3 linked regions of the Callithrix jacchus genome follow. The protein of the gene in region 2 purifies or fractionates together with the protein of the main gene of each other region. This does not show direct contact. Links are inferred from orthologs where the notes say so. Each region holds a gene or a part of one and is shown on either strand. Other genes may lie near its edges. The genes, in order: CYFIP2, WASF2 and ABI2.

The links.
Region 1: the proteins of WASF2 (region 2) and CYFIP2 purify together in Homo sapiens (co-immunoprecipitation; 3 studies listed by BioGRID and IntAct, with this or other methods). This does not show direct contact. The link is inferred for Callithrix jacchus from reciprocal best matches to the Homo sapiens genes WASF2 and CYFIP2.
Region 3: the proteins of WASF2 (region 2) and ABI2 purify together in Homo sapiens (affinity purification with mass spectrometry; 3 studies listed by BioGRID and IntAct, counting the BioPlex papers as one, with this or other methods). This does not show direct contact. The link is inferred for Callithrix jacchus from reciprocal best matches to the Homo sapiens genes WASF2 and ABI2.

Annotation. Positions count from the first base shown.
Region 1 is NC_133503.1:20,165,409-20,167,916, forward strand, and holds part of CYFIP2 (cytoplasmic FMR1-interacting protein 2), read left to right. Parts: intron 1-1,538; coding exon 1,539-1,706; 3' UTR 1,707-2,508. UniProt on the Homo sapiens protein: Involved in T-cell adhesion and p53/TP53-dependent induction of apoptosis. Does not bind RNA. As component of the WAVE1 complex, required for BDNF-NTRK2 endocytic trafficking and signaling from early endosomes.
Region 2 is NC_133508.1:64,081,575-64,085,231, reverse strand, and holds part of WASF2 (actin-binding protein WASF2), read left to right. Parts: intron 1-692; coding exon 693-810; intron 811-1,811; coding exon 1,812-1,942; intron 1,943-3,657. UniProt on the Homo sapiens protein: Downstream effector molecule involved in the transmission of signals from tyrosine kinase receptors and small GTPases to the actin cytoskeleton. Promotes formation of actin filaments. Part of the WAVE complex that regulates lamellipodia formation.
Region 3 is NC_133507.1:124,709,379-124,713,035, forward strand, and holds part of ABI2 (abl interactor 2), read left to right. Parts: intron 1-2,093; coding exon 2,094-2,267; intron 2,268-3,657. UniProt on the Homo sapiens protein: Regulator of actin cytoskeleton dynamics underlying cell motility and adhesion. Functions as a component of the WAVE complex, which activates actin nucleating machinery Arp2/3 to drive lamellipodia formation.

The sequences.
Region 1 (2,508 bases), on a different chromosome or scaffold from region 2:
TTTTCATTTTCCCCAACTCAAACTCTGGGCCTATTAAAAAATCACTCCACATTTTCTCCCCAGCCCCTGGTAACCATCATTCTACCTTATGAATTTGACTACTTCTAGGTACTTCATATAACATACAGTGTTTGTGTTTCGTGACTGGCTCAATTTAGTTAGCATGTCTTCAAGGTTCGTCCATGTTGTAGTGTATGTAGATTTCCATCCTTTTCATGGCTATGTAATATTCCATGGTGTGTACAGACCACATTTTGTTTGTCCAGTCATCCACTGACCCTTAGGTTGCTGTCACCTTTTGGCTATTGTTGAAAATGGTTAATTTTGGCTACTATGAAACATAGGTGTACAAATAACTCTTTAAATTTCTGCTTTCCATTCTTTTGACTATATACCCAGAAGTGGAATTGCTGGATCTCATGGTAATTTGATATTTTTGAGAAACTGCCATTCTGTTGTCCATTGTGGCTGCACAATTTTATATTCCCACCAGTAGTACACAAGAGTTCCAGTTTCTCCACATCCTCATCAGCACGTATTCTTTAATAATAGCCATCCTGATGGGTGAAAAAGTCATCATGTTGTGGTTTTAATTTGAATTTCTCTAATGACTGTCAGTGCCAAGTGCTATATTCATGTGTTATTGGCCATTTGTATATCTTCTTTGGAGAAGTGCCTATTCGAGTCCTTTGCCCATTTTTTAATTGAGTCCTTTTTGTTGAGTTGAAGTTTTTTTTTTTTTTTTTAAATCAATGAGAGCTTCTTATGTTGCTCAGGTTGGCCTTGAACTCATAGCCTCACCTCCTCAAGTGCCAGGACAACTGGCCAGAGCCACTGCAGCTCCCGAGTTGAAGTTCTTTATGTATTCTAGATATTACTTCTTAGATATGATTTGTGATTATTTTCTATTTTATGGGTTGTCTTTTCATTCTGATGGTGTCCCTTTGATGCACAAAAGTTTTCAATTTTGATGTCCAATTTTTTGCCTTTGCTTTTGATACCGTATCTCAAGATATTATTGCCAAATCCATATCATTAAAATTTTCCCCTATATTCTAAACGTTTCAGTTTTAACTCTCATGGTTAGGTCTCTGATCCACTCTGAGTTAATTCTTTGTATATGGTATAAGGTAAGGGTTCCGTGTTACTCTTTTGCATGTGTGTATCCATTTTTCCCGGCATCTTTTGTTGAAAAGGCTGCTGTTTCCCCCATTGAACAGTGTTGGCGCCCTTGTTGAAAATCATTTGATCATACATATAATTGTGTATTTCTGGGCTCTCTATTCTGTTTCATTCATCTGTATGTCTACCTTTATGCCAGTGCCACACTTCTGATTACTGTAGCTCTGTAGATGGTTTTAAGACTTGGAGAAGGTTTTCACCGTCCTTGATTGTCAGATCCAGGGGATTCCATTAAAGGACTTTAAGTGATATGATCATTGATGCAGGGGACTCTGGACCTCACTGACTTCTCTTACTCCCTTCTCTTTCTACTCCCTTTGTCCTGCCCTAATTCGAATATCCCCTTCCTTCTGTAGCCCCTCAAGAAGATGGCCGACCGGATCAGGAAGTACCAGATCTTGAACAATGAGGTTTTTGCCATCCTGAACAAGTACATGAAGTCCGTGGAGACAGACAGTTCTACCGTGGAGCATGTGCGCTGCTTCCAGCCACCCATCCACCAGTCCTTGGCCACCACTTGCTGAGCAGAAGGTCCTGCAAACCCTTACCTGGAGGAGGAAGAAAAGCAGGAGAGAGAAAGCCACAGCCAGCCTGCCACAGGATCCGACTGGACAGCGTGTGGGATGGACCTGGAAACAAGTACCTCCCCAAACACATCTCCACCACTCCCTAGGGCGGGGCCTGTGCATGCTCTCCCATGACATCTCCATGCTGGTTTCTCCATAGCATATATAAAAAAAAAAAAAAAAAAAAAGGAAAAAACAGGGCAGTGTGTGCTTTTTCTTTTCTTGCCCCCTCAACCCTTCACCCTTTCTCCATCCCATCGTCCCACCCATCTGTGGTTGCTTCCCAAGAGCTCCTTCCAAGATGGACACCTCGTACCCAGTGCCCATGTCTGACCCCAGGACTGAAGTCTCAGACTGAGAACAGATATGGCCTTCCCAGAGATGCCAGCCTGGCCTGAAAGGCGTACCTCAGCTTACCACTTAATCTCTCCTGGTGCCCTCCCTGCAGTGCCACAGGGGGTATCTTCTCCCACTCTGGCTGCCAGGGATTCTACCACATAGGCTTCCCAAAGCCCCATCCTAACTCCCCTCTCAGGGAAGTCCTAGAGAGAGGGCCAAAAAACATTCACAGGTGTATCATACTGTATGCAGGTGGGATAGGAGACTGGTCAGGCCTGCTGTGGGGAAGCAGTATGTATGAACACGGCCAGAAGTTTCACGGTCCAAACAGGATGCTTTCAGGCCATCTCAGCTGCTAGACGGTGAGACGGTTCCCTCGTTCCTTGGGCAAAGGCTTAGCATTGGGCCACAAAGGGGAAGC
Region 2 (3,657 bases):
ATCCCACTGGCACAGCCCCTAATTAGGAGCTGGTGATTAAACCTTGTGGTCTTAACAACAGCTGGCCGTCTTTTTTCACTGGAGCCCCCTTGTGGTTGGGGTGTGTGTGGGCGCTAAGCTATTTTAGAAGGGAGCAAGAAGGTGGAGTGCTGTGGTTTCTTATCTGTGTGTGCAGAGAAATAACAGCTGTACACACACACACTTTTCATGTATATATGTGTACATATGCATACACATGAACCTCCACATGTATACACAGATTTCCAGTGGGTGGAAAGCTACTGATGCTTCCTAGAGAGTCCTGGGGAACTGGTGCAAAAAGAGGAAACAGTGGTAGAAATTCCCTCTGATGTACCAGGATATCTGAATATCCTCAGGGAGATGTCTGTGGCCATGCAGATCATTAGAAGTAATCAGAATCCCTGCTGCTATCACCTGTTCTTGCCCTGACAATGCAAATTCATCTACCAGGAATTGAAAGTAAGGCTAAAGTTCTTAAAAAGCCTGATAAGTAGAGAGGTGCCATTCAGGGGCATTGAAATGCTGGTATGGGAGAGGAAATATGCAATCGATTCAAATGACTTCTTGATTCCTTGGTGTAAAAACTGCTAACTGGTAGGTGTTTGGAATATTGGATTTGGTTGGGAGCTCATCTGTCTACTGACAGCTACTTGTCTTCATTTCTATCCCAGGGATGATGGAAAAGAGGCACTCAAATTCTACACAGACCCTTCATACTTCTTTGATCTTTGGAAGGAGAAGATGCTGCAGGACACCAAGGATATCATGAAAGAGAAGAGAAAGCATAGGGTGAGGGGAAAGGGGCCTCTGTTCTCCACATCAGTAGGCACGATTGTGGAGGGAGGGATAAAAAGGAAGCCAGTCTTATGTGAAGTAATCATTTTGAGTGGCTGCTTGCTTGGATGCCAGGTGAAACTCTTAAAAAAATGTGGCCACACCAAGCACAACGAAGATGAAAGTATAAATCACACCAAAAATGTGTTTGTTCCCCCCAGCACTATTAACAATTGAGTATATTCAGGCTGAGTTTTAGAAATTGACTTTTCTATTCACCATTTATTTCTCTTGCAATTTGCACCTGACTCTGCTGGACACGCAAGCTAGGCTAGTCCCTTCCCTTCCAGTTTTGCAGCTCATTTCTCAGAGATTAGCACAAGGTTCTGCAGTGTTTGATTTGCAACAGGAGCAGTTTAACACCTTCACTACTGGTTGGGTGGGGCCAGGGTGAGGGACTAGATGTAGGTTTTGGAGATTCTTCCTCCCCATAGAGTCTTCCTGATATGTATGTGACCTACCAGTTGCAACCTCATTCCCATTAAGCATGGCTGCTGGGAGGCCCAAGAGAGTGCCAGGGGCAAGAGCAGCTGCACAGGCTGAAAAATTCTTCATTGATTTTTTTTTAACTATTTCCTTATATATGCCCAGATAACCGTAGGTCTCATTACATCTCATCTCTCTTGACTGATCTTTGGGGCTGAGCAAATAATAAATAGCTGTTTACTAACTTCTAGCAATTAGAGCTTTTCAAAAATGTGAGTGAAAAGAGGTAGTGGGTTTCCCATTGCTGGAGGCATTTGAATGTGAGATTGAGCAAATGTTTCACCTAGGGGATGGAGTGGATTAGATGGCCTCTAGATCCCGGCAAACCCAGTAATTCTGTAAGTTATGTAGTTATTGTATGTTGTCTAGGCAGATCATCTCTTAGATATGCATCCATGAAGATGGGTAGAATTCTAATGAATAACTTTGGAAAATGTTCTGCAAAGACCTTCCTGTTCTTTTCATTATAGAAAGAAAAGAAAGATAATCCAAATCGAGGGAACGTAAACCCACGTAAAATCAAGACACGTAAGGAAGAGTGGGAGAAAATGAAGATGGGACAAGAATTTGTGGAGTCCAAAGAGAAGCTGGGGCCTTCTGGGTAGGTGATGCCTTTGTGCTGTTGGTAGCATTCTTTGAAGGGGCTGGGGACCTGGGGACAACAGTCTGACAGCTCTGGTGTGACACCTTTCACACCCCCTGAAGTCTGTCTGTGTGGCTTAGATCAATACCACTATTAATCAGCTACTTTAAAGTGCATCCATCTGGTGATTAAAATTTGCTAAATAAATCAAGAGACTCAGCAATTTAAATGAGGTGACTGGAGTGGTCTGGAAAAGAAAGCCCATGGCTCCTAGTGCCCTTATTCTGCGAGACACTGACACATCTCAGGGCCCCAGAGGAAAGACTGGAAAGGGAAGAAAAGTGGTCTTGGGAATCCTTTGCCTCCAGAGCATTGATTTGAAGGTCATGCCTAAGAACTGGGCATTTCACTCTGAGGGCTGGGGAGGGCCGGGCAAGGAAGTTGTTCACATCACTGAAGCAACTTTTCAGTCAGCTTTTGTCAGTCTTGGGAGAGAGGCTGGCCAAGGGACTGAATGCAAACCTCATAGACAGTGTGGGAAAGGTTGCTCGGCCAGTATTGAGGCTATATATCTCTGCGAAGAAATAAGAGGTGTCAGTCTGACCCCATTTCCCGATACCAAGTCACACTGGAGGTTTAAAGGGGGGAAAAAGATGGTTTTAAAGCTTGGTTTGATACTTACTCTGGTATCTGACCTGGTTGACATTCAAAGCCAAGTCACCATGACTGCTTGGAATGAATGTCACCCTGGTTTTTTCTCTAAATACATTGCATCATGGCTGTCAGAGAACCATGCCAGCCCGTGCTGGGTGTCTAGGAATGATAAAAGGAAAGAATTTAGTTGTTCTAGCTTTTAGAAATAACTCTACATGAAAATCTTGACTTTTAAAAATCTTGACACTTCTGACACTTGTTCTTCATGGATTAAGAGATCTATTTTAAAGAGTGATGAAGACGGTGAAAGGAAAAAATGAATCTTTTTCTTTTCTAGGAAATCACCCCTGAGGGTACCTTCATTACCTTTACCTCCCAGTAAAGGGGGCCATTTTGTTCCATGGACCCATCCTGTTCAGACAGGCAGTTGTCACAGGTTCAGTGACTCTAAAGCCAGAAGCTTGCGTGTTCAGAATGCCAGCTACCCATGTGTGTCTTTTTTTTGTGGAGTAGGAAGATGAGGATTTGCCTCCCATTTTCCTGTTGTCCGGGTGGTTTGGAGTTGGGCTGCATGGCTAGTCTATCTGGACGTGCCTGTTGGTGAACCTATAAAGAGACGTGCCAAGGCTCCAGGGCTCCAGGCCTTGGGGATTTTCCACATCAGAGAATCTTTAGATTCAGTTAGTTTCCTCCAACTCTGTTCTCCCTGGGGTCTGTTTTAGATGAGTTCTTTAGAACCCAACAATGGTGGAAAGAGGGCGGGAGGTGGAGCATAGCAGGCCAGATTTTGCTAGCTGATGCTTGTGTATTTGTGCTTGTTTGAAGTTTTGTTGTTGTTCACCCAGAACAAATTCACCCAAGGCCCAGTGCACTGAGGGACAGGTTTTCATGAGGCAAGCCCTAGCACCCTACTTTAATCGTCAGCTCATTTTGTTTGATAAGAGACCTGGCAGAAAGACCACGTTTACTACCTCATAGCACCCTGCATTCATCCTGAGCTTCATTTTGCAATCCAGTACCTCCTTGGCCTTCGAGTTCTCCAGAGGCTTGCTGACCTCAAAATCAGGCTGTGTGCCAGT
Region 3 (3,657 bases), on a different chromosome or scaffold from region 2:
ATGCCATCCTACCTTCCCCCTTCCTCCCCATTAATGCTTACTCATTTTTCAGGTTTCAGGAAGTCTTTTCCTGACCCACATAACAAGTGTTGTTTATGCTCTGTGTTCCTGTAGTACCTTAAAACACACACTACACTCAATTGCAAATGAAGGTTTCGTTGTTCATGTCTCCATGACTTCTACCCACTGCCCTTTTCTCAGTGCTGAGCATAATATCTAGCCATATTAGTTAATGTTTGCTGAATAAATAGTATGAAGCATACTTGAAGGTTTTTGAATTTATGTCATTTCATAGTAGTGTAGCTTTTAAGATAATAGGCATTGGAATTTTTTCCACCTACTTTCTGTTGGAATACTTAATCTTGGAAAGCCAGTCTCCACATCTATAAAATGAAAAACACCACCTCCCACTGTAAAGATGAAATGAAATAATGCATTACAAAGGTCTAGCTGAACATGGAACGTTTTAAGTCAATTGTGGTGGTTTATTAAACTGGCAGTTACAAGGAAAGTAAAAATGAACAGTGGAAGCATCTTTGAGTAATTTTGTAGTGTCATTTCTCAAGGTGATTGTTTTTAAAGTTCCTTTGGATCTGTGGTTCTGTGCAATTGTTTAAAGTCCGTCTTTTTATCTTACAAATGGAAATAGGACACATTGCTTTTTCACCCAAGTATATAGTAAGTCACATATCTATATCTTTTGTTTGTTAATAAAAACTATTAGGATGAAAGATGTTCTGTTTAATGACTGAAGTTTTAAAGTTTATAAAGTAGATCAGTATAGAGGGGGCACAGCAGATGGGAAGAATACTGAGATAAGACAGAAGCATGGTGTTGCTGTGGCTGCCTCCCACCAGGAATCAGCAATCTTCAAAAATCCATTTAATTCAATTAGTAGACTTACATTAGAAATACTAAATAAATAGGATTGCTCAGAGGATCACATCTATACTGGTACCTCCTAAATGAGAATTAGTGCTGTTCATTAAACCTGAGGAGCTGATAAACACAGGTTTATTCATTTCATTGTGTTCAGCTGTGCTCAAGTATGTACCAACTATTTTGAAAGGTTAAGTCTCTGAGTTTGAAGATAATTTTTTTGATGTTACTGTGTATCGGTATCAGAGCTGTGGAAGCAGAACTCCATGGGAGATGTTTTAAATTACTCTGCTAGTATGCTTGGACATTTAGCCTGAAGAAATTCTAAATGATAAATTAGTCTGAACTAGAACAAATTCTATAAGTAAACAAACATCTTCATAGATGAAGTTAACCAAGTTTGTTATTTTTTTCCTCTTGAATTTGGTATTAGAAAAATTCATTAAGAAGAAAGTAGTGGATTACTAAAATTTTACTATTCCCTGGATTCATTCTAATTTAAGTGAAAAAAGATTTTAAAAATCTGTGAAATATGGTTTTCATGATCAGTATTTCTGATAACTTTTCCTTGAAAACAGTGTAAAGCTCAGCTATATTGTACCGATCTCTGTTTTGTTTGTTTCTGCTGTTTTTGAGATGCAGTCTTGCTCTGTGGCCCAGGTTGGAGTGCCGTGATCTCAGCTCACTGCAACCTCCATCTTGCCTGTTCAAGCAACTCTTGTGCCTTGGCCTCCTGAATAGCTGGGATTGCAGGCACCTGCCACCATGTGCAACTAATTTTTATATTTTTAGTAGAGACAGGGTTTCACCATGTTGCCCAGGCTGATTGCGAACTCCTGACCACAGGTGATCCACCTACCTCGGCCTCCCAAAGTGCTGGGATTACAGGTGCCAGCTACTGCGCCCAGTCATACTGATCTCTTTGAAAAGAGGATTTGTATTAGAATAAACAGGTTCCAGAGGCTCAGTTAATAATTATTTTTGTCTAAACTTTATTCAGTATCCATTAGCACTAATCCAAGGGCAAGAGAGGGAGAATATCATTCTTGGAGCTCTGGAACATTATAGTTGGTGGGAAGACTTCTCTTGCTCACTCATTTTTTGAAAGAATATTTTCAAGTCTAGGTTTATATTCCATGAACCTAGAAGCTTGGATGGGAAATACTAAACTTCGCATAATGTATAGTTTTGTTGTCAGCCTGCTGTGTTCTTAGTTTCAGATACACCACCTCCACCGCCACCTGTGGAAGAACCAGTCTTTGATGAGTCTCCCCCACCTCCTCCTCCCCCAGAAGATTATGAAGAGGAGGAAGCAGCTGTGGTTGAGTATAGTGATCCTTATGCTGAAGAGGACCCGCCGTGGGCTCCACGTTCTTACTTGGAAAAGGGTAAGGTTCAGAAGGGTATCTGGACAGATGGGAAGAAACCTCTACATAGAACTAATGAAATTTGCTGGTACTGAAGAGAATCTTGTTTATTTTTTGCTAAGTGAAGTTTTATTTATTTGTATTTGTGCCTTTTTATTTAGTTTACAAGGTTCATGATTTTAAAAGTTACACTGGTAAAATTCTGTGAATATTTGATTTTTAAAAAGTGATGGTTACCTATATTGTTCCTATTGGACATGTTTTTTTCTGGTTTCTGTAAGTAGTTTTCTGTTTCCTTTCGCCTCAGGAAGATTATTTTTTTCACCTCATTATTCCTACCTCCATGCTTTAGAACATTACTTTGTGTCACCTTTTAATTGGATACTTCAGTTTAAATGTCTCCATATGAAATACTCTGTTCCACGGAATAATGGTTTCTCAGTTTCTTTGCCAAGTAATATTGGACATTTCTTTTAGTGAAAAGTTTCTTTGATATTAGCTAACTACAGTGTAGCACTTTGGGACACAAGCTTTCAAATTCATCAAGACTAATCAGCTCAGAAAAAAATGTGTCCTGTTTGGAAGGAATTTTTCTTTTAAGAAAATCAAAGCTTCTAACCCACTGGGTCTCAAAGTTAGCTACACATTAGAATCACTTGGAGGACTTTTATAAAGAAATAAATAGTCTTCCACTTAAAGCCAAGAGAGAGCAACAGTAATCAGGTTTACCCTCCCTTCTAAAACAGGAATTTTAAAAAAAGCCCCGCAAAATAATGGTTTTCAGACATTGAACAACAGGCGCTGGTAGGCTCTGACCCCCAGAAAGAAGGAAATGATTTTTTCTCTTATGTAGCTACTATAAATGTCACATGTGATCAAGAAAGTAAAAGAAAACATGAACATGAGAGAGACGTGGAGTATATCTTTAAAAAGAGAAAGGGAAACCCACATATTTCTGGAGATAAAACACACTGCAGAGGAAAGTATTAGCAACCTTGATGCCATGACAATAGAAACTATCCAAAATAAGGCACAGAGAAAAAAGGGGGGAAAAAAGGCAAAAGGGAAAACATAGCAATAGATAATGTAAGACAAGATGAACTAGTCTTTATATATGTATAATTGGAGTCCCCAGGAGATGTGAAAGAAAAAAGATATGAAACCATCATAGAAAAAAATGTTTCCACATTTGATGAAAACTATCTTATGTATTGCTACCTAACAAATTATTCCCCAAATTTAGTGGGTTAACAAATTATTCCCAAAATTTAGTGATTTAAACAGAACATACATTATTTCCAGTTTCTCTGCATGGCCCACCTGGGCCCTCTGATTCAGAAATTCTTAACATGGCTGCAGTCAAGGTATCCAGCTGAGGCTGCAGTGATCTCAGGGCTTGACTGAGGAAGAC